Linked DNA regions of Struthio camelus. The main gene of each other region encodes a partner of the protein of the gene in region 3 in a complex. Links are inferred from orthologs where the notes say so. Each region holds a gene or a part of one and is shown on either strand. Other genes may lie near its edges.

Region 1 (7,290 bases), on a different chromosome or scaffold from region 3:
CTGACAATTACCAGTGAAACGAGGAAGTAATAAGGAGCAAAAATATCTTCTTTTTTGACGGCGATTACATTGACACATTTCAGGCAACAATCTAGCTACTGTGATTTGTGGCTCAGCCAATTCATAACTGGACTGTAGTAACTTGCCCGGTCTTGAGCCTTCAAGTACCCAAAGCTCCCAATTCATAGTGTAGTACACTGTGGGAAAAACTGCTAAACGCTCACACCCCAAAGATATACAATTTCCTTCGTTGCCCTGTAGCCAAGTTCCTGCTTCAAAGTTCAAATCAAAGTCATCATCTCCCTTTGTAAAGCCGCCGATGGGTGCAGATTATTCAATGTCCAAGACATGACAACTCTGTAGGGATGGAACTTCCAAAGGACCAAGTAAAATTTGGTATCTTAGGACGGTGCAGTTTTCTAAGACACTGTGACACCATCTTTCCTTTGATTTTTTTTCTTTCGCTGCAGCTTCTTCTGTTTAAAGGCTCCAGTCTGCATCGCTTATCTGTGGAAAAGAGACTCTAGGAACTTTTGCGGGAGAAAGGGTCCAGTGGAGTTCATCTGGCTTTCCTGATTTAACCTCAGACACCCAAGAACAAAGGTAGTACAACACAAACACTTCGCTGAGGACAAGAGTGCACACTTGCAGCCTCAAGTTTAAAGGAGCTGTGCTGCTTCTTTGGTATTTTAGATGATGATGGTGACACATTTTTTATGCTATATTGGCCACTGCTCTTCAAGATGAGTAATCTAACAGCAATGAAAAGTTTTGCCTACCTAAAAAAAAAAAATAATAGCATAAGAACAGCAAAACAGCTACTGAGATATTTTGTTTTTAAACTGGACTATCATTTAAATAGGTATCTTCAAAAAGCCAGCTTTCATGCTAGCTGTGTGCCAAACTATGTCTCTCTCATAGCAAAATGCGACTATTTATTAAGCACCCCAAATTTTGAAAATCATTGCTGTTTAAAGTATACTTTTGTACGGTCTACACAGCATTCTTCTGATCATGTCTCATGGCCCATCATTTAGCCTACTAAAAATAAAATACTTCAAACAATATATTTTGAGAAAAAATACCATAATCCTCAACCTTAAAAAATTGCACTGAATTTTTCAGGCTGTGCATTAAAGGCTTTGTTCATTCCATTTAAAACAAACACACACGATGGTAGAAAGCTACACGAACAAGAACGTTTGTGCTGTCCTAAGATGACCAATTGTGGTTAATGATGTTAACATAAATGTGTATTTCTATGTGCTGAAGGCACATATTGTATCAATACTAGAAGGTTTAGTTCCCTGAACAGAAAGCAAAAAACCCTGTGTTTTCAAACAAATTACAAAGCTATCAATTCAAAAGCCTTGCAGGTATTAGGTTTCATTTATATTTTATGTACAGAACTTGGTAACTTTATGCAGCAAAAACATCCTCCAATTATTTCAAGCCCCAAATCCCACACAGTGTTTCTGCTTTGGTTTGGCGCAGTAGACGGAGCAAGGTATCTGGAAGAAAACGGAACTAGCAATAGAGGAAGAACTTAACCTCCATTTCTCAGCATTCGTTTAGCACATCTAGAATATTCCATTCAGTTTTGGGCCCCTTCAACAGAAAACAAACATTGATAAACTGGGGTGACCCAGCTGTTCGAGGGCAGCAGCTTGGTCAAACCTGAGGGAAGAGATGGCTTCGGGGGGCTCACAGCAGCCCCCGGCACCTTTGCAGGGCGTAACCAAGAAGATCCAAGAGGCTCTTCAGCAGTGCATGACAAGGCATAAGGGCAGAAATTGAAACAAGAGATGGTCCTCTTTCACACAAGGAGAAACCTTCTCACGAGAGGATGATCAGGCAGGGAGCAAGTTGCTCAGAGAGGCTACGCAGTCTTCATTCCTGGAAGTTTTCAAAACCCAACTCGATAAAGCCTGAGTAACCTGGTGAGATCTCAGACCTGACCCTGCTCTGAGTACAAGGCTGGACTAGAGCCCAGCTGGGGTCCCTTCCAGCCTAAACTACGCTGTAATCCTATGACAATTACAGAGCACTATGCTTCCTGTTCCATCTGTTTTTTGGAAAGCAGAAGAGGGGAAGCCGTTTCTGTTCCTGGTGGAGGTCACCTGCAGCATTACCTACTCAATACCACTGTAAAACACACCATTTCCTGGTTCAATAGCTCTGAAAAGCAGACTTCGTATTACTTTTCCTACTCATGAGTAAGCATGAGCTCACATGGGTTTCTATATGAGATGTTGCTGTCAAAAGTTTTCAACAGTACATTCCGATACCAAACACAAGCTTCGCTAGACTGTAGTTCAGCAGTCAAGCAAGCCCTGTATGACTGTCATACAGCCCCACTCTTATCGAACATAACACACTTCTCAATCCGGACCACGCAGAGATCACTAATTTACAACGAGTCTTCTTCAATCCAGGCAGCGCTGACACCCTCTCCTTGCCCGGGTCTCAGACCCGAGCAGTATCGTGTTGAATCAGTCCTTGCTGCAGCCTCACGTTTGCCACAGCCTGCCGAGAACTGCCTCCAGGTGCAGAGGCTCTGCCGCCCAGCCGCCTGCAGCCAGCCTCCCTGAGCCGCCCCGGGCTGCCAGCAGCGCTCGGCGACCTCCCGCCCCCTCCACGGGCGCCTTGTAAGGCAGCGTGCGTGACATGGGCACCGCTCACGGGCAGCTTTGAAGCGCGCTGGGGAGCAACAGATAGCGAAGGTGCTGGAGCAAAGTGCCACCGAGACCTTTTCCCTTTTCGCCCTTCTTTCGCGCATCCCGGGAAAACGAGCGCGGAGCAAGTCCGCTGCCGCGGAAGAGTAAAGGCTCTTACTAGAGGCCAGCTACGCTTCCTGAGCGCGCTTGGGGCCGCGGAGGCTCCGCCTGCTCAGGGCGGCTGTTACCGCCGGCGCGGCCGCGGGACCCCCGGGCATCGCCCCCCGCTCCCCGCCTCCCTCCGCCGTCGGGGCTCGCTCTTACCGCAGCGCGGGGCCGAGGGCGGCGGCGGGCGGCGGGGGCCAGGCGGGTCCGCCGCCCCCTCCTCGGGGCTGCTGCTGCTGCTCCTTCTTGCCGGGCCGCCAGCGGGGCAGCGCCGGGCGCCGCTTGGGCGGGTGGCGGCGGGCGGCAGCGGCGCCCTCCGCCTCCGAGTCGTCCGACTCGCTGCGGCCAAAGAGCCGCTCGAGGCGGCCCCGCCGGGCCCGGGCCATGCCGGGCTGGGAGCCGCGGCGGGCGGCGGCGGTGACGGGCGGCGGCGGGGCCCGGCAGCAGCCCGGGCAGCGCGGCGCGCCCGGCGGCCTCCGAGGCTCCGCGGGCATGGACGGGGCGGTTGCCTCCCGCCTCGGTGTATATGCGTTTAATAAGACGATTCCTTCCCTCCCTTCCCACCGCCGGCCGCGTCGGTCCCTCCCCGCGGAGGAAGCAGCGCCGGGCCAGGCTCCCCCGCCGCTCGCACAGGAAGGGAGCGGCTCGCGTGCTCGCCGTGCCCAGGGTGCAAATTAGGAGCCCATTAGCTTGTTGTTGTTTTCTGCTAACCCTCAGGTGTGCCCGGGGCCCCGTGCCGCTTGTGCACGCCGCGCGAAGAGCCAGCGCGCCCGCCCGCAGCGGGACGGCGAGCGCCGCCGACGGCGGCAGCGGAGCCGCCGCGCCCGCGGGCCCCGGCCCGCCTCGGAGGTCGGGACGGCCGTCGGGGGGCTCGGAAAGACCTAACGGGACAGGTCGCGTCCCGTCCTGCGGCGACAGCCCCGACCTGGCGGTGCCGGCACCCCGCAGCGCCTGTAGCCATCTGCCCTCACATGACCCAGACCTGAGGTCTTCTACAGCTGTGCTTGCTGAGGGTGTTTTACAGTGAAGGACACCCTCCGTCCGGCCTCGTAATCTCACAGGCACACACTTGTCTCGTGTGACCAGTGTCTAAAGTTTCTCGGTTTTTTTTCATTTGTTTTGATCTTGCGTGTTACTGATTGGATACCGAGGTTATGATTCTCTGCAAAAAACTCTAAAATGAGACTATAGAAAATGTATTAAAAGTCTGTGTGCTGGGAAAACTTGAAATTCACTGTTAAGAAATGGCCATAATGAGCCTATAATCGATAAATACACTACCTAAATTGAGAGGGATATAAATTAATGCTGAGGTTTTTAGCGGACAGAGATAGGATGTGAAGACAAGGCATGGGAAGACAAAATACACAAGGGGTTTGGCTCAGCAGCTCAGCCCTACCTATACTAGTGTTTTACCCAAAGCAATTTGTAGACCGGTTTTAGGTCTGCAAATTCAGATTCAGTTATTTTCCTGAGTTATGTTTAATTTATTTGGCTAGTGATTAACTAAACAGACTAACCTACAAAGAAAGTGATTTTTCCCAAAATTAAAATAGGTGATGTTGCTATATAATACATGTGACAGGCATATGACAAAATTGGACACAACAGAAAAGGCAGAGGGTTGTGCCCTCAGGAAACACATAAGGATTGAAGAATTGTCCATTTCAATGGAGCAATTTATATAGGCACAAAGATCACAGATCGCACTTGAAGCAGGAAGGGACCTATGGGTTTGTCAAGTCCAACCCCCCTGCTCAAAGCGAGGTCAGCTAGAACAGGGTGCTCAGGAAAGTGTCCATCTGGGTTTTGAGTATCTCCTAGAATGGAGACAGACTTGATGACAGATAACGTGCTGTCCTTGGTGGATGGGTAGGAACAGAGTGGTAGATCCTGTTTCCTATATCTGGATAAGATTTTTGAGCACTGACTCAACACTAGAAGATCCTAATAGCTACCTCCCTCCTCTTAAAATAATTCTTTTTTCCATTTCCTTGACAAGAGATTCACAGCTGGCATAACCACGGCATTTTATGACGTTCTCCTGTGCACCACTGGACGAGCCAGATAAAAGTATTACTAAATATTCATACCACATTTCCATTTAGGCACCAGTTAGAATCAGAGTCCTATTGTGCCAAAGGGGTACATATTAAATGTGTTGATGAGCCATTTCAGCCAAAAAGCACCGAGGAGAAAAAAGTGTGGACCACTGTTGTCCCAATTTGTCCTCTCTGTTATGGTGCCCCAGTATACCTGCTCCACTAGGAGAGGGAAGAGTTAGGGTGATCTGCTCTGGTAGCCAGCCTGCAGACACGCATGTGCCGATCAGCCCACTAGCCGGGGGGCCCACAAGAGACAAAAAGATCTATATGGCCTGAAGACCTGTAGTGTAAATTGCAGAGCAAGGAAAAAGAGGAATGCAAAGCGTGCATCTCTTCAAAACATTTCAGATTTTTCAGAGTGACCTGCATCAACATTAGGCTCTTGTTGTTCCCACCCTAGAAATGTGCAGTTAAATATCTCTCTGGAGTGACAATTAAATATAACAAATAAGCCTGCAACATTAACTTTGAGATATCCAGCATTTGTGCTTCACTGCTAACGTAAACTAGAATATCCTAATACATGCAAATAGGTGAAGGGGATTTGGTTGATAATATTTGTTCAAGCTTTAGCCAAAATTAAGGTCTAGGTGTTAAATAAGGCAATATAAAAACAACACGTGATCTCAATCCAAACAGATTTGTGGAGGCTCAGTGCTTGTAGTCGTACTTGTTCCTAGGCTTATTTAGAAGATGTAGATCTTTTCTTTTAAGAAAGGCATTTTTAAGACCATTAGATAAACGCAGAAATTCATTAGAATTAGCCAGTCATTTAGGAAACTTTAAATGATGGTCAGGTTTATGTCAGCCGTCCTGACACATGTAACAGAACAAGTCAGTCTAGCTTTTATCTGAACCAAATGAGTTTTGCAACAGTTCGTAGCAATTCATATCATAGAAAAATGTTATGCAACAAATGATCCTTCTCCTGTTTGGTTTCATTCCAGCGTGATGAAAAAGAAGATGATTGGATGTTCCCAAATTTCTAGATTAGACTCGATCATTTTCAGTATTATCCACCTAGCTTGTCTGCACAGTATATGTGAGATTTACCAAAAAAAAAAAAAAGCATAATTATTTTGGAATTATGATGAGAATCATCAGACAACTGCAGACTCAAAAGCTCCAAAATTGTTACAGAAACTAAATAGCACCAAGGTGAGCACGATGTATTCAAATTGTTGTTCCTCCCTTTTTAATATATTTCAAAACAGAAACACTATTCTAACACAAAAGTGTTCCATTATGACACTATATTTGAGGAAAAACATTCTAGAGCTCATAAGCAAATTATAGGAAAAGCACCATTTTGTTTGTAAAGTATACATTTCAGGTACTACTAGGAACGGATTACCACCAGCTCTGTCACTAAATACTTTATCTTCTCCGCTAATACAGCAGAGGTTTGAAAATTTTTCCAAAATCAGTATATGAAAGCTTACATTTAAGATTCAGCTACTCCACTGTCAGAATATATGAAGAATGCCTTTGAATTCCCACATTGTGAAGCCAGTGATAAAAGAGCAATAAAGTATACAGGGGCCAGAATCCTGCCTGTGTCCCACATTAAACATGCAAGCCCCAAAGTGTGGTCCTGAAATCCCACATTCATTTGACATCTCACCTTAAGGGCACCTAAATTCCAGAGGTGCCTCCCTGTTTGTCTTGCAAGTGCCCCAGGTACCCAGGGATTCACCTCTTCACATGCCCAGAACTGCCTCAGCCTTGACAGGACTGTGAGTTTGGTGCGTGGTTCTTGCCTAAGTCTGACAAAGAGCTAAAAACAAGGTATTCCTTGGCCTAAAGCTCCACAGGGGCTCCCAGCGGTCAGCATAGTGAGGTCTTGTTCAACACACATTGTAAAATCAGGGTTGGTGCACAATGCAATGATGGCTGTTATTCTTTTCCAAGAGTTCGCTGCCTATTTAGCACTTGACGTAGAAATAGTGGCAGAAAGAGTGGCCTTCATTCGGGAATATCCTACTTCAGAAGGGAACATTCAACTTCACAGTCCTGTTAGCACTGGTGTTTTCTTTCTGACCCAACGTGGTTAGAGATTTAAGTGGCTACATGTAAAATGAAAGAGAGTGAGTCCTGCTCCGTGCCCTGAAAGAAAAGGCATAGTTATGTATCCCTAGTATTCTCAGACATGGCAGGATGTGGATGCTCGTTCCTGGTGAGTATAGACAGCATGGAATCAAAAATGTAAAATGCTACTGAATATAGTGACCGGAGAAAGCCAAGGCTAAGAACTAGAATAGCTCAGGAACATGCTAAGCCAGAACTGCAGAAGCCAAGAGACCCGTAAAACAAACAACAGGACAAAACTCATAAATGTCAGCAAGTCCACGTCACAGGGAAGG
Region 2 (8,097 bases), on a different chromosome or scaffold from region 3:
ATGACACTCCTTATTCAAAGATCTATTTTCCGAGTGATAGCAGTCGAGGACCCATAACTGCACAGGTATAGTTAGGATGTACACAGTTAATGACACCAAATTCCATCAGCCTTTTAAAATGCTGCATTTCGGTGCTGTAAAACTTCTACAGCACATTACAGCTGGTTTTAGGTTTGAGTGTCCTGAATAATTTCACTTGATTAGCAAATATCATCATGCCCCTAGGGGTATCCTTTCCCCAGATAATCCATCAGTCTGGTAAACAGTGGGAATTACCCGTAACCTCCCTTTCCTTGTGAGAACGGAAAGTTTGTTCCTAACTCCTTGTTTCCTAGCAGATAACTAGTTACTAACAAGGGGATGATCCTCCTTTTTATCCATGACACCTCAGACTTAAATTTTGAAAGGATCTCAGAGGAAAAAGAGGTAAGTGGTCTTTCCTACCCATATGGAAGGGAGGCAGAACATGGGCAGTGTGAAGCAAGCTGGTGACTAATCATATTATGTAAGGTGAAGAGTTTTGGTTGTGTGACAAACTAATCCACTTTTTCGGAAAGGCGTTACAGTATGGACAGCCTCTTACACAAGGGACAGGAGAGCCAATATTCTACGGGACGCATTAACTTGTTGACTAGTGCAAGGACATTAAAGCAGTATCACGTAGATGAGGAGGTCAAAGGAACCTTCAATAGCGCAAGTTCTGGATATTCAGAATCAAAATTAAGCATAGCAAAAGACAAGAAGTGAATTCTTCACAGTTGCACACCAATGCTACAAGCCCGAGTTATAATAGCGAGGAATTGGAGCTGCTTCACTTGTTACTGAAGACCTTTGGCTCAGACAGCCTCCCTGTCACAAGTGGCAATACCTATTTCAGAGTTGCTAATAAGAAGTAGATCTTTAAGCATTCAAGACTAACGAAGGGAACATTTAGCAGAGCACTGACTAAATCACCTATCAATAACCAAGTTACGCAGGAAGTGTTCATTGACACTGCTTGAGTGAGAGGACTTTCTTTCCCAGCCCTATGTTCCTGTGACTCGGTGGCACGCTAAGCGTAGGAAACAGGAAAGCTTCAAAGACCTATGAGAGGAGTCTCATTTGGCTAATAGCAAAACACTCGCAGGTTTTTAGAAATATAGCACACAACAATTTCTTCATACAACAATGAAATACATCCAGTAGAGAGGAACTCGGCGTTGCTCCGTTTCTGACGGACGAGGAATTGATCACAGAACTAACAAGTCAAGCCACACACCTAGGAACAAAGACAGAAGCTGCGTTAATGGACCAGGGCACGCTGACCTGCGAAGCACTGATCTCTGGAAACAGGCGGTCAATTGGCTGACTACACACTCCAAAGCGCGAGCACGGTGCATGACTCACAGAATCAAAGAATCACAGAATCGTTTAGGTTGGAAGGGACCTTTGGAGATCATCTAGTCCAACCTCCCTGCTCAAGCAGGGTCACCTAGAGCATATTGCCCAGGATCACATCCAGACAGGTTTTGAATATCTCCAGCGAAGGAGACTCCACCACCTCTCTGGGCAACCTGGTCCAATGCTCCGTCACCCTCCCAGTGAAGAAGTTTTTCCTCAGGTTCAGATGGAACTTCCTGTGGTTCAGTTTCTGCCCGTTGCCTCTTGTCCTGTTGCTGGGCACCACGGAGAAGAGGCTGGCCTCATCCTCTTGACACTCCCCCTTCAGATACTTGTACACCTTGATGAGGTCCCCCCCTCAGTCTTCTCTTCTCCAGGCTGAACAGGCCCAGCTCTTGCAGTCTTTCTTCCTAGGACAGGTGCTCCAGGCCCTTCATCATCTGCGTAGCCCTCCGCTGGACTCTCTCCGGGAGCGCCATGTCTCTCTTGTCCTGGGGAGCCCAGAACTGGACCCAGCAGTCCAGATGTGGCCTCCGCAGGGCTGAGGAGAGGGGCAGGATCACCTCCCTCCACCTGCTGGCAACACTCTGCCTAATGCACCCCAGGAGACCATGGGCCTTCTTGGCCACAAGGGCACATTGCTGCCTTATGCTCAACGTGTTGTCCACCAGGACCCCCCCAGGTCCTTCTCTGCAGAGCTGCTTTCCAGCAGGTCAACCCCCAGCCTGTACTGGTGCCTGCATGGGCTTATTCCTCCCTAGGTGCAGGACCTTGCACTTGCCTTTGTTGAACTGCAGCAGGTTCCTCTCCGCCCACCTCTCCAGCCTGTCCACGTCCCTCTGAATGGCAGCACAGTCTTCTGGTGTGTTAGCCTCTCCCCCCAGTTTAGTATCATCAGCAAACTTGCTGAGGGTGCACTCTGTCCCTTCCTCCAGGTCATGGATGAATACATTGAACAAGACTGGACCCAGGACTCACCCCTGGGGGACACCACTAGCCACAGGCCTCCAACTTGACTCTGCGCCATTCACCACAACCCTCTGAGCTCGGCCATCCAGCCAGTTCTCAATCCACCTCACTGTCCACTCCTCTAACCCACACTTCCTGAGCTTACCTAGGAGGATGGGATGGGAGACAGTGTCAAAAGCCTTGCTCAAGTCCAGGGAGACAACATCCACTGCTCTGCCCTCCTCTACCCAGCCAGTCATCTCGTCATAGAAGGCTATCAGATTGGTCTAACATGATTTCCCTTTGGTGAATCCATGCTGACTCCTCCTGATCACCTTCTTGTCCTCCACATGCTTAGTGATGACCTCCAGGAGGAGCTGTTCCATCACCTTTCCCAGGATGGAGGTGAGGCTGACAGGCCTGTAGTTCCCTGGCTCCTCCTTCTTGCCCTTTTTGAAGACTGGAGGGACACTGGCTTTCTTCCAGTCCTCAGGCACCTCTCCTGATCTCCAGGACCTTTCCAAGATGATGGAGAGTGGCCTAGCGATAACATCCGCCAGCTCCCTCAGCACTCGTGGGTGCATCCCATCGGGGCCCATGGATTTGTGGATGTCAAGTTTGGACAAAAGATCTCTAACCTGATCCTCCTCAACCAAGGGAGAGTCTTCCTTTCTCCAGACTTCCTCTCTTGTCCCCAGGGTCTGGAATTCCTCAGGACTGGCCTTAGCAGTGAAGACTGAAACAAAGGCAGCATTCAATAACTCTGCCTTCTCTGTATCCTTCGTCACCAGGGCACCCGCCCCATTCAGCGGCGGGCCCACGTTTTCCCTAGTCTTCCTTTTGCTCTTGATGTATTTGAAGAAGCCCTTCTTGTTGTCCTTGACATCCCTTGCCAGATTTAATTCCAAATGGGCCTTAGCCTTCCTTGTCGCATCCCTGCACGCTCTGACAACGTCCCTGTATTCCTCCCAAGTGGCCTGGCCCCTTTTCCACATTCTGTACACTTCCTTCTTCTGCTGGAGTTTGGCCAGGAGTTCCTTGCTCATCCATGCAGGTCTCCTGCCCGCTTTGCTCGACTTCTTCCTCAGAGGGATGCACTGATCTTGAGCCTGGAGGAGGTGATGCTTGAATATTAACCAGCTCTCTTGGACCCCTCTTCCTTCTAGGGCCCTACCCCAGGAGATTCCCCTAAGTAGGTCCCTCAAGAGGCCAAAGTCAGCTCTCCTGAAGTCCAGCGTTGCAATCCTGCTTGTTGCTCTGCTCCCTCCTCGTAGGATCCTGAACTCCACCATCTCATGGTCACTGCAGCCAAGGCTGCCCCCAACCTTCACCTCTCCAACTAGACCTCCTTTGTTCGTTAGTACAAGGTCCAGCAGTGCACCTCTCCTCGTTGGTGTCTCCACCACCTGAGTCAAGAAATTATCATCAATCCTCTGCAGGAACCTCTTTGACTCTCAGACATCTAAAGGATGATCTCAAATCGCAGCACAGACTATACTATTTCCGCATAAGGCACTGGTGCCACCGTGTCTGGAATACTGTACGTACGGCTGCAGTCAATAATTCAAGGAGATAACTGAACAGGATTCAAATAATCGTGTAACTAAGGTTGGAAAACGTCATGTAGCAAAAGACCACAAGGAGCCTGATCTGTTCAAACACAATGCCAGGAGTCACTCGGGGTGACGGGTTGGGCAGGGGGGAAGTGAGTTACTTTACCTCAACTGACACTTTTTTTAGTCCATTTTTTTCCCCCTCACGTCTCTCAGGTAGATGTCCTCCTGAGATTAGATAACATGGAGACCTCGAAATCAGTCTCAAGTTTTTTAGGCTAACCCAACACAGCCCTTTCTCCTGGAAAGCAGAACCCTCCAGTTATTGGGGCTGCTGATACGCAATCACTGTAACGCAGAACAAACCTGCACTGCTAGTGAAGACGACATCGCCTTCCTTCCCCGTTCCTCCAGATTTAACTGCTCCCTATGAACAGGTCCAGCTGAAAATTAAAATAGTTTTCAACTAGATCTGTTCTCTCTCTGGCTACCTGCGAGGCCACCCAAACACGATACAACAGAGAAGATGGAAATGAGCAGCAGGATGCTAGGAGGGAGATTGCTCCTTTTAGCAGATGTATAAATCCACGCAGGATGCGTGTGACCAGGTAACCACAGGCTGAAGCTCCTCAAGCCACTGCTGACTGAAATGCTTCAACTTTGCTCCGTTTTTTAAGAGCCATTCCTAAGCAAGAGTGAAAGCAGACTGGTCAATTTTCCAGCTTGCTAGCTAGGAGAAAAACCGAACAGGAAATAAAACCGAAAAAACAAGCGCACAAGCAAAAGGCTTAGGAATATTTTATAGCTCCTTCCACCACTGCTTCTGGCAGCAGAGGTCCACTGCAAAGCCCGCTGCTACAACTCTCAAACAGTAGGCAGTCAGAGGCTGATAAAAAGACAGATCCTTGAAGAAGGGCAAGGAAGAGCACTGCGCTAGGAACCCATGGGATCAGAGCTGAGCCCTTTCCTGGGACCTTGGCACACTCTACTTCTTGTCACACTGATCGATTTAGAAGCATTAGTAAATACCTCAAAAATCCAGCTTTATAAGAGCTAACAACTCCAGAGAAAATGTTAGCAGTTTTTTGTCAGATATATGAAATATCAGAGAACAAAAAATACCCGAACTCCTACGTCTGCAGGGGAATTAGAGCAGAACGCGAAGAGGACCTGGGAGTTAGAAACCGTTGTCACCTCTGATGCAGATATTTGCAGATCGCAATTTAAAGTGAAACGTTTGCTTCCAAACGATGCTTGGGAGAATCTAAGTGACCTCCGATTACATACTGAGCCCCTAAAAGAGTAAGAATAAACATGTAGTTTCCTACAAAATTCTGGTGACGGCGTGAGGCTAAGCAACGGCTGATTTTAAAGAAATACTGGGGTCTGAACCACATAGAGCGATCACAGCACAGTACTAAAGATAACGCCCTAGAGCATGATTCAGTTTTCTTCTGAAGAAGAAGAAGAAAAAAAGAGTATCTTCAATTCATTATTCTTCTAGAGCTTCTTTTTCAGTGATACATCAACACACATTCAAAATTAGAAGCAAGCCCAGTAAACAGCAGCTGTGATTTTGCACCTTCCTATGCTGAAGCAACATTTTGCTGACCAAATATTTAAACTGACAGAACTAATTACTGCTTTTTAAAGTATCCGGCAGACCAAAACAGAAATGGATCCAACATACTAAGTTTTCTAGAACGATCTTGCAACTCAAATCCAGCCAACTACCGTATTAAACTAAAATCACAAAACACATTCTGGGCACTCTCTACAGCTAATTTGATCCTATTGTGCAGCTTGTCCTCTTCACCGCGTCATGAAAACGTGCACATGCTGCGAGCGATTCCAGAGCAACAGGAGCCCACGTGGATGGATTTAAATAAAAACCATTTTGCTCACCAACTTTCAGTGGGGCTTTCTTTCAGTTATTTTCCTAAAGGAAAGTTGCACCAAACACAGAGAACCTTGGTTTTGGGTTTTTTTTTTTCGCTGACCTAGAGAACCTATTTACAACTATTTAAGCAGTTACAGAACTTAACATATGTGATTCAAGAGAGTTAATTCTCGCATCATATTTCAACCTGACCAGCAAGGCCTATCAAATATAATCTAGTATGTAAGAACTGCTATGTCTGGCAAGTTGTATTTCAAAAGTCTAAAATTTGACCAAAAACATTATTTTAAAGTCTACCTTAAAGATGCCAAATACATTAACTTTTTCTTGATAAATCAGGAAAAACTGATTAAAAAGAGAGACATTAGCTGTCATCATTGAATTAAACAGACGAAATCCCATTGTGCCCTTTCAGATGATGAAAAGTTGTTCGGACATCTTGCACAATTTTTACTCATATTGGAACAGAAAAGGAAATTCTTCCTTATTTTCAACTCTCAGTAAGCTAGCTCTATATGCAAACTAATGAAAAACTTAAAATATATGAAGGTCTGCACCGGCAGAAGTCGTTACAGCTGTCAGGGGCTGTTTCCAGCCCTTGGCCCTTCTGCTTACCTAGTGATTTTATAAACTCCATTATTTGATTTTCTCAAAGAATTCTGATCATAGAGTAGGACTTTATTTCCCTTTCATCTGAGTGATTCAGATTAAGGCCTTAATATATGCGGTCCGTTCGAAATGCAATTGTAGGCAGATTTGCTCCTTACAACAAAAAAATGGACTCTTAAAAATGAACTTTAAGCTCCCCTCACTCGTGTGATTTTCTTGTACAGCAGGAGCCAAAGAGAGGCACCATCTTCCTTTAAAAAATGTCTTTCGATAACATTGTTCTATTCAGTTGAGCAATTCAGAGAGCGCTTAAACACAAATAAAGGCAGGAGAGTGCTAAGCTAGCAGAAGAGGGTACTTCTGCAACAGTGCACGCGCACGTGCGTGTTCGCAGATGGGAGCGGGGCATAATTTAGGGGAAGCCAGGTAGCAGAAATCAATGCAGTGTGCTGTGAAATATGAAGAAACTCAAGCGTACATCTTGTAGTACTGCAAAAGCCTGTTAAAACAATGTTGCAGCAGCCATTTTAACTATTCAGCCCTCTGTTTTTATTTAAATATTAATACCAGTGTGACACCCAAATCAAAGATTCAATATCCCTACTGCCTCCCTGGGCATATTTATTTTTTTTGAATATGTGAATTTGAGTATTTTTTGAATACGGAATATTTGCACTTTCACGACTACTGTTGTGTTGACACACAACTGTAAATACGGAAGAGTCCGCAGAGGCGAGCTGAGTGAAGATTCGCCGTGACGGAGCAGAGCGGAATTCAGCCCCTGTGACGTTCTCATGGGGGCAGCACAGTTATTTGGCCACTTGGACTTCTCAAATAAGACTTTCCAGTAAAGCAGTATAAGGGAGTGATCACACTGGAAAACAGCTAAACTGGAAATGGGAGGGGAAAAAAAAAGAAAAAGAAAAGCCTAATTCTCACCTATTTGAATGCTGTAGCAGGTGACATTTTATTAGGAACTACTGAAATACACATTAACCTCTGGAACAACATATTAGCAAAAGACATTAAAATTTTATTTCGCTTAAGAAACCCTCAATATAAATGGCAAGAAGCTTCCTCTAAGACTGGATAATCTCAAAGTAAGTTTGAAAACGATGTCGTGAAGAAAGCGTCCTGCCACTCTAAGTCGTCCTTCCAGTCAAGGATGACTGAAGCTTGAGAAATCTCAGCGCTGCACTGAATTATTTTTCGGTTTGCCTAGAGCAACGTCCCTTGCTCCACCCTCTGCTTCTTACGATCTCCTTGCAACCGCACAGCACAGAGTCACATCTGACACAGCCTGCCTGGTTGATTAACAACAACAAAAGCGCTCCACACACTCCAGCCAGAGGACTGCTGGGTACCAAGCAAAGCAGTAAGCTGTGGAAAAATCAACTTGTCAGCACTGCTGGATATTAAGTCGAAACACATTTTAATGGACCTGCTCCCACGTCGAGAGATTCATTAGGGCCCAGAAATCAAACAGGTTTATAAATATAAGACGCTTAAAACAGTAAACAAATATTTCATTAAATTCCTACTTCGATTCTTTTTGCTCCCAGTAAAAGCTGGATTTATTTTAAATGACTATTTCAGTATAGCCAAGTACATTTGCCAGCACTGTTTGTAGGTCACACTCCTCTTTTCTTCTGTAGAGCTAATCACATTCTCTGTTGCTGAGCTGCGTATAGAATCTTGCACTTACTT
Region 3 (8,076 bases):
TTAACCTGAACAATATTTTTAAACAACTTACAGTTGCTGCTTTGCTTTTTCAGTTGTTTATTTTAAAAGAGTGATTTTTGACTAGTTTTTCAAGCTTGTTTGCCAGTGTTTTACATTAGAACTAACTGTGAGGCTTTCAGAGCCCTGAGTGCACTGATAGTCTTAATTGCCCTGACCTCCTCAGTCTTCTACCCACACACCCCCGACCCAGGAGCTGCATTCAGGCTCAGGCCTGGGCATCCAGACCTAGCCCGAGCTATGTTGTAGGTGTATCTGTGCCCGGCTGTGTCTCCCTCTGGCCTGACTTGATGACTGGGCTTTCTAGATGGACTGCTGATGTATGTTGTAGGCAGTCTTCTCTCTGGCTCAGTCTCCTGGATGGATATTAGACCTATGTCAGCAGTAGACCTCTCTCTGGCTCTCAATTCTAGTTAATCATCTTTCCGTTCTTCAGCCCTGTCTCCTGTTGTTCCTGACTGGACTTCCTGGATGGGCTCCCTGACTTGTGGCCTTGCCTTGTCTGAGGCTGTTGACGGAACCTGACACTATTGCCACCCCAGCCCTGCTCAGGCACCGTGGGACGGCACTGTGGGTGATAACACCCTCCCTGTGCTGCAGTCACCCTCCGCTCCCGGCTCGTTGTTTCTCGTGGAGCAGGCCCCCTCTTGCTGCTCCCTGATAGAGAGGTCTAACGTGAGACGACTTCTGTTTTTGCCAATAAACTTCTGGGAGGTGAAAAGGGGGCTTAACATAAGCTTTCCCTACTTACCTGAAAGAATGAGAGTTCTGAACTTTTAACAGAAGTGGAAAATATTCTAATAATTGTTTCCTATAGTGCTATGATTGTTTGAATAACTAACGGCTAATGCTATTCACTAAACTCAAAATAAAATCTTGCCTTTTTCGAAATTTAAAAGAGGCAAGAAAGAATGAAAAGTTTTCAAAAGAGATAATGCAAAGAAATGTGTATTTCAATGCAAATATAATCTCATCCTCACTTCCAGATATTCACTGGAAATTCCTCGAGCTGAGATTCTGATAGCATAATTAACCATACGTGAGAGGTTTTTTCATTTTTGACCAGTCCAAATTTTACAGAAATTATACTCAGTGAGAAGATGTACAGTACTGACACTACTACATTTACATATGATTACATCAGTTAATTATGGTTTTGGATGTGCATCTCTGGTTCTATGTAAGTGACGTCAATAACTACCATTTGTAACTGCAGTCACACATAGGGCTGAAATATTATGTCGCATACATACGTGTTCTGAAATTTGACCTGTTACTCATTACCTCAAAAGAGTCTGACTTTTATACAGCTGTGAATAAAATATTTTTTAACCCTTACAACACAGCAGATCATAACAGTGGGACATCTAATGCTAATGGATATTAACAGAATTGAAAAGAATTAAAACCTAGCTATTTAGATTGAGACCAGCCAAGGAATTATTTAACGTAATTCAGGGTAGGCAGAATAAATCCATGCTAGCTGAGAAGGTTTCTGAAAGACGTTTAAGTTTTTGGTGAAGCTGAATATACTTGCTTTGCAGTTCTTGATGCTAGGTTGCATAGAAGCAGAGCGTATTGCAGGCATTCAAGCCTGATGAAGTAGTTTATTATCCCAGATAGCTCCTTAAGACATAATTTCGCAGTTTCACTACTCCTGATAGGAAGGTTATCTTACTTAGCAGTGCAGCCTGAAAACAAGCCTGGAAAAATTTTTTATATTTCAACCCATCTATTTCAGCCTCTCTTTTTACTGCCAGTGGTGTGTGAATTTTCAGTTCTCTCTTTACATCTGTCACAGAGTGCCAGAAAATGGAAAAGATCTGCTTCAGTCAATAGGGAGAAAGAAGTACCTTGAAAAACAGCCTGCCAATATTTGACAGTTCTATACAATGATGACAGTTCATTGGCTTCTCAAACCTTGTCCACAAGTACAGTTGCATAGTTTCGGTTGAGCCAAATTAACAGCTTGATGGCAAAGGGTCTCATTGTCTCCCATCTTCCCTGCTCAGTCAGTTTTCTGCCATTTTAGCAAGTTGAATTAGCATACCACGCAATCAAACCAAGATGGTGCATGGAAAGCAGTAAAAGCATAAAACTGGGACTGGGAGAGGCAGACTGCGAACAAGGCATCTCTTCACAGTGATAGTGATCTGCTCAGTCAACTCAGGCCAGACCATGAATGATCAGGCTTTGCACGGGAATCAAAAAATATTTATCTATATATTTATATATATCCAAAAAGGTTGGAAAGGGCTAAATATGTAAATATCCCCCCTTCACTGGCTCACTGGGCATTTGGCCCAGTTTCAAACTATTATTCACCTGCTTCATGTATAACTGAAGCTATTTAGCTGTTTTAACATTTGCAAGGTTAGACAATTTAATCAATACAGTAAGAAATGCAAAATGTTAGCTATACTGCATGCACTAGTTTGAAAGGATTTAGAAAGTTGGACAGTAGGCACAACATTTTTAATTACAGAGACAGCCTAATCAGTCTGAAACTGTTCTGATTTCTGGAAACATCTAGTTTGCATGAAGCACGTTCAGAAGTTAATACAAATATTAATATAGTCATATTCACACTCCCATTACATCATCTTATTTTCCTACTCTGTAACACAATAATTAGGCCCACAGTGATGTAACACCGTAGTAAAAATAAAATTTCATCGCTGCATAAAACGGTATGTCACTTCTCTTGTCCTCATAGTTCATGAAGCCATTAGAGCATACAGATGGAACAATTTTTCTTGCAAACCACCTCCACCCACTGATTATTTGATATACTAGAGCAGGCCTTGGAAAATACAATTGCTTTCTGTTACTGGTGAATGAGAGTCTTTCCCTAGCAAGTGAGGTGAGGGGGAGTCAAGTTTTCACAAGAGTCTCTACATCTGTGGTCACAAAGAAAACCTCCCAAATGTTAACTGAGTCAGTGCCATCTTTTGAACCTGTATTCAGTCTAATGCACGGATTCAGTGTTTTCCCAACTACCAGCAAAACAGACAATTTTTGCTGCTGCTATTCAGGAGTAGGTGGGTAACAACGATACTGACACAGTGTTTCTATTATTTGGAAAAACTATGGGCACTAGGAAGCATAAAGGAGGCCAAGAGCCAATGAGAAACTCATTAAGCAGCTTAAACTGATCTAAATCTAGTCTGTTGAGGTCACATCCCTCCCCCGCCACACATTTCCACCCGCTTCCTTCGGCCATTGCTAGTGTTTACAAAAGCAGGTGGTGTGCCAGTTCAAGGCAAAAAACACATCACTTTGGTGGGATAGTTTTCAGCCAGATCAACTCTGTGAACTGGTTTAGGGGCACAGCACTAGCAACAGCGCAAAGGAGGGAGGTGGGAACACAACCGCTTGGAATTAAGAACAGTTTAAGTTTGTGTGAAACTATAACCTAATAAAGAACTGGAAGTTCTGGAGTTTATCCTCAGCTATATGAATCCTTTCATACGCTGATCAAACTCCAGCTTAAAAGAGGGCTGGATTGCTTTGCCTTACTATTTCTGAGTATGTTCCTAACCCACATTCCTCTTTCTGGGTTGGTCAGAAGTCTTATTTATAATGAGTAGAAATTCACTGATGACCGATTCCTAACAGAAGCACAATAGTGATAGTGGCACCTCCATTCTAAATCCTCTAACCAGAGAAGATTAGGGAAAGGCTAAGAGGCAGACATAATTTGTTTTCTAGCACATAAGAGGCGGGGAGGGGACTGAAGCAAGAGGAAGCAACTCCCCGTAGTCAGAAGACTTCTTTGCAGTGCTTGGATAAGGGAAAATTTCTTCGCCTTGTGACCACAGCAAAAGCAAAGTGTTCCCCTACGACACATACAAGCTGATGCTAGCTATCATCACATCAGACAGGAACAGTTATTAGAAATCCCAGTTCCTGAGAAATGAGACCTCAGCTGCTCACTGGTGCTGGCTTTTATACTCACCGGGTGGGAAAGAAAGGAAGTCAATTTTTTAATGCTAGTATTTAATAGGCACCTGTAATTTCTTCATCCTTTAGTAGTGCAGCATAGTTAAAGCTTAATAAACGTATTTAATATACATTTTAGATGTTTTATGTCTTGGGTTACAATTCCCTATGCTTTTTTCCTCAGTTTAATAGTAACTTGGGGCTTGGTCAGGCTACATGATAAATGCAATTTGTAAACGTTCCTGATAAAGTGTCATACCTGTCTTCTTTTGTGTCAGAAGACTATTCCGATTTTTGCATTGCTGCTCGGAAAGGTTAAAGAGTGGCTTGTTTTAACACTAACCTCTGGCCAAAGGTGGGCATAATTGAAAAGAAAACATATGCACCTAAGCATTAAAAAAAGGGGCGGGGACAAAGATACTATTACAAAATCAGGCTGCATCTATGTAAAGCTCACCTTTTCCTTATCCACATACTGCAAGCACACCCTGAAGTCCTCAGACTGATGATGACCAGACTGGGTGTGTACGACAGGGACAGCACGCTTCGTATACGCCCTATATTAACTTTCTCTTCCTTAAACACTTGCCGCCCTGCGGCGAGAGGCTCCCGGACCGGTCGGACCCTCCCGCTACCGGCCTCCAGGGGAGGCCGAGCTCCCGGGGGGCAGCTCAGCCTCGGCGCCCGGCCACCTCCCGCGGGGCCCCGCCGGCCGCGAGAGCCCGCCGAAGGCCCGGGGCGCTGAGGCGCCGCCTCAGCCCTCCGCCCTCCTCCGAGAGGCGGCGGGATCCAGAGGAGCGGCTCTGCCCTGGGGGCTCTGCGGAGCGAAGACAGCCCCGAGCCCCGGCTCTGCTGCTGCCGCTGCTGCCCCCGCCGCCGCCGCCGCCCCCGGCCGGTCCCCGTCGCCGCCGCCGCCGCCGCCGCCCCGCTCGGAGCGTGACAGGAGGGGGGAGGGGCGGGAAGCAACAGAGAAGCCCGCCCACAGGGTGACGCCATGGGAGCCTCGCCTCACGTGACCGGGGCAGCCAATGGGGAGGCGGCGTCCCGGCTCCTGCGGGCGGGGGGGTAGGGGGCGGAGGAGGAAGGGGGTGGGGGGAGGCCGAGGCCGCGGCCGTCGCCGAGGCGGGCGGGGGGGGGGGGAGCGGCAGCGCGGAGCGGGACCGCCGGAGGTTGCGCCTCTCCGGCCGCGGCGCCGAACCGAGCGGCCATGCCGAATAAAAACAAGAAGGAGAAAGTGAGTCGGCGGCGGGGGCGCGCGCGGGGAGGCCGGGCGGGTCGGGCCCCGCGGGGAGGCTGTGGGGTGCAGGCCCCGCCGGGAGGGGCCTGGGGCAGGGCCCTGAGGGGGGCTGGGGCGGGTCGGGTCGGGCCAGGGGCAGCCCCCCCCCACCGTTGTACGCAGGCGGTCCCCTTCCTTTCCTCTGAGTGGGGGCTGAGGTGACTCCTTGGGGGGGGGGGGGGCTGGGGCCTGGCCCCGGGGAGGCTGTGGCGGGCTGGCATCGCCCTGCCCCGCTCCGGGGGTTTCACCCCCCTCTGCTCCCCGCCGGAATGGGGCGCGGAGCCCCCGCGGGCGAGGCCGCGGCGCCGGGGGCGGGGTGGGCGAGGGGTTGAGGGAGTTGATGGAGGGCGGTCGTGGGTCTGTTGTGTGGCGGAGGGCTGGGGGGGGGGGTCACGCAGTTGGACAAGGCGCCTGGAGGAAGAGTGAGTTGGAGAGGGTGTCTCTTAATTTGGGACCAGCCCGAGTCTCTCGTGGCGGAGGAAGGGGTGGTTTTGAGGGAGGCAGGATAAACGTTTGGGGGGGGGGGGGGGATTCCTGGGAGAGCCACCTCTCCAGCCCTCGTCCCGGGAAGTTTCACTGGCGCGTTGCTTTGACTGCAGTTGAAGTTGTGCCTGGAGAATCACCGTAAGCACTCAGCAAGCGTTAATCAGCGCTTGAAATCTTTTCATCTGCTCCTCCTGCCAATGGAAGATGGATGTTGTTTTGGCCTCGCTTTGCCTCAGTTTCCCCTATGCATCTGGGAGGGATTTGTTTGGCAGCCGTAAAAGGGGCTAGCACAAGTAACGAACGTTAGCAGAAAAGTTTTAAGTCCAATATAAAGTCAACGGGATTGCACTTTATTTTGTGTGATAGGCAATTAGCTGTCACGGGAATGAGTGCACATCAGAAGCAGTGAAGTATAAGTCTGCATGGTCCTGCTGCTATCCCACCAGACCTTTTTATGTTTGTTTGACTTCTATCTGCTTTCTAGTTTTTCAACATCACTTTAAAATTAGGTGTAGGAAGATTGGGCGGATTTTGCGTTTCTATTTTCTTTTTTTTTTTTTTTTTTTACTTTTTCCTAACATCCTTGTCTCTTTGATGTTGAAGAACCTCAACACTTATTTCTCTTCTGAGAATAACAGAAGTAGCTCAAAAATATGCAATGGGTGAAGGATGTAACTTAAGTGCAATGCTGGGAAAGAGAATTTGGGGTGCAGACCTACTTCACATACTAGAGTTTTTAGCCCCATTATAGTTACTTGGAGGAAACACCTAGAAGAGACAAGATAATGAAGTGTAAAATGTGTACTGCACTGATGCTTGTTTCAAAGCTAAATATAACTACTCCCGAGGCCAAAAAGCAAAGACAGCAAGGCTCAGTTCTTAGGCATGGCTGAAATCATTTGCATTCTTTGCCCCTGCTTGTTTACCTATATACAAGCCTCTCTTTAAACACGTTATAAGTGGGTTTTGAGGAATAAATACAATGTAAGAAATTTTCTTGAAGGTGAAAAATGTTAAAAGCAACTTTGTAGAGACTGCTTTTTCAGTATTAAGTTTTTTTTCAGTGAAACAATATAATTCTCATCTCACCATTTTTAACGTTCTTAGCAAGTAGCTAAAAAACTGAATTCTTGATGTGAAAGTCTATCTAAATCTTTACAAAATAACTGAGGCTGCAAACTTCATTTTTTAGGAACCTGCAAAATCAGGCAAGAGTGGAAAAAGTGGTAAAGATGGACAAGATAACCAAGAACATGAGGTAAATATTACTAAAACGTGTAGTTTTTCCAGGCAAATGTGTGATGACTTTTGAAGAGCATATTAAGTTTGTCTAGATTGTTATAATTTTGATGTGATAGATGGCTGTAAGTAAAGTGGTTATAGAACTTCTGGTGAAGTATTTGACAAAAAATATTTTAAGACTGGAGAAAATGCTTTTGAGGAAGTTGAATTTTATTTAGAGCAACTTAGACTAAAGCGAACATGCAAAATATTTCTCAGATATTTTTCTGTTTTCTTTTTCGTTCTGAGGTGTGTATCTATCTTATTTTCTAGTCTCATCATGAGGTTTTGGACTTGTCTTTTAGTTGCTTATCACGTTTTTTTTATCATTCTTCATAATTCCCGGAGCTCTCTTCTCTTAAAATCATGATGTGAGCATGTCAGTTAAGTGTCAGTATCCTGTTCCATATTGTCTCAGGAGACCTTAGGCTTAATTAAAGGCCGCCAACTTATTTCTGTTGTGTGATTTCTTTTTATAGGTGTATATACTGGAGTGTTCCATTTTTGACTGATTATTCTGTTGTTGCTGCTGCTACTTTTTTCAAACTTTTACATTGCTTTCTGCTTTGCTCGCTAGCAAGGTGCAGTGAATTCAAAGAGGTCGATTAAATTGTGGCTTACTCGCTTTCCCGTGTTAATCTGGAAAACCAGAGTTAATGGTTTTGCTTCATTTGGAAATCTACAGGGTTCAAGTGGATTCTGGAATTTCCTGTAAAGTGTTAATACCAACCTATATGTAAAATGCAGTGCTGAAAAGTTTGTGCAAAAATACATTTGAAAACCATATTCTTATCCAAAATTACCACTTCCCCTCCCCTAAATGACTATAAGAAAAAAAAGAATTTTTGTGTTTGCTCTGTAGTGTGTGTATTCTTTCTGATGCACTTCATTGAGTTTGTTTATTTCTTGTGCAGAAAGATGCATGTTACAGTATGTTAATGAAATCATTAGATTTTGTGAACTTTAGTATCTTGGCAAATTCAGGTAAAACAATGATTGAATTTTGGTGGAGGGAACTGGTATTCTAGCGACAGGGAAAGCCCTTAGAAAGAAATCGGAACTGTATCAGAAAA

What was found.
Region 1: the proteins of PPP2R5C (region 3) and CRYBG1 are in contact, whole or in part, in a crystal structure (PDB 6VRO), measured with the Homo sapiens proteins. The link is inferred for Struthio camelus from reciprocal best matches to the Homo sapiens genes PPP2R5C and CRYBG1. Residues at the interface, in NP_002710.2 of Homo sapiens: Lys183, Thr184, His187, Tyr190, Gly191, Leu194, Arg197, Ala198, Arg201, Glu226, Ile227, Ser230, Ile231, Asn233, Gly234, Phe235, Ala236, Lys240, Glu242, His243, Pro265, Gln266, Tyr269; in NP_001358171.1 of Homo sapiens: Pro1136, Phe1138, Ala1139, Met1140, Pro1141, Pro1142, Ile1143, His1144, Glu1145, Asp1146, His1147, Glu1149.
Region 2: the proteins of PPP2R5C (region 3) and PPME1 are in contact, whole or in part, in a cryo-EM structure (PDB 7SOY), measured with the Homo sapiens proteins. The link is inferred for Struthio camelus from reciprocal best matches to the Homo sapiens genes PPP2R5C and PPME1. Residues at the interface, in NP_002710.2 of Homo sapiens: Asp180, His187, Arg188, Tyr190, Gly191, Leu194, Arg197, Ser230, Ile231, Gly234, Phe235, Ala236, Lys240, His243, Asp313, Gln341, Tyr348, Glu353, Tyr354, Glu399; in NP_057231.1 of Homo sapiens: Arg37, Lys38, Arg39, Asn192, Lys217, Val251, Glu252, Gly253, Ile254, Ile255, Glu256, Glu257, Pro345, Gln346.

What each region holds. Positions count from the first base shown.
Region 1 is NC_090944.1:58,589,818-58,597,107, reverse strand, and holds the start of CRYBG1 (beta/gamma crystallin domain-containing protein 1), read right to left. Parts: upstream 3,065-7,290; 5' UTR 2,982-3,064; intron 1-2,981. UniProt on the Homo sapiens protein: May function as suppressor of malignant melanoma. It may exert its effects through interactions with the cytoskeleton.
Region 2 is NC_090942.1:223,149,925-223,158,021, reverse strand, and holds the start of PPME1 (protein phosphatase methylesterase 1), read right to left. Parts: upstream 3,098-8,097; 5' UTR 3,083-3,097; coding exon 2,967-3,082; intron 1-2,966. UniProt on the Homo sapiens protein: Demethylates proteins that have been reversibly carboxymethylated. Demethylates PPP2CB (in vitro) and PPP2CA. Binding to PPP2CA displaces the manganese ion and inactivates the enzyme.
Region 3 is NC_090946.1:71,135,477-71,143,552, forward strand, and holds the start of PPP2R5C (serine/threonine-protein phosphatase 2A 56 kDa regulatory subunit gamma isoform), read left to right. Parts: upstream 1-5,060; 5' UTR 5,061-5,167; coding exon 5,168-5,194; intron 5,195-6,914; coding exon 6,915-6,980; intron 6,981-8,076.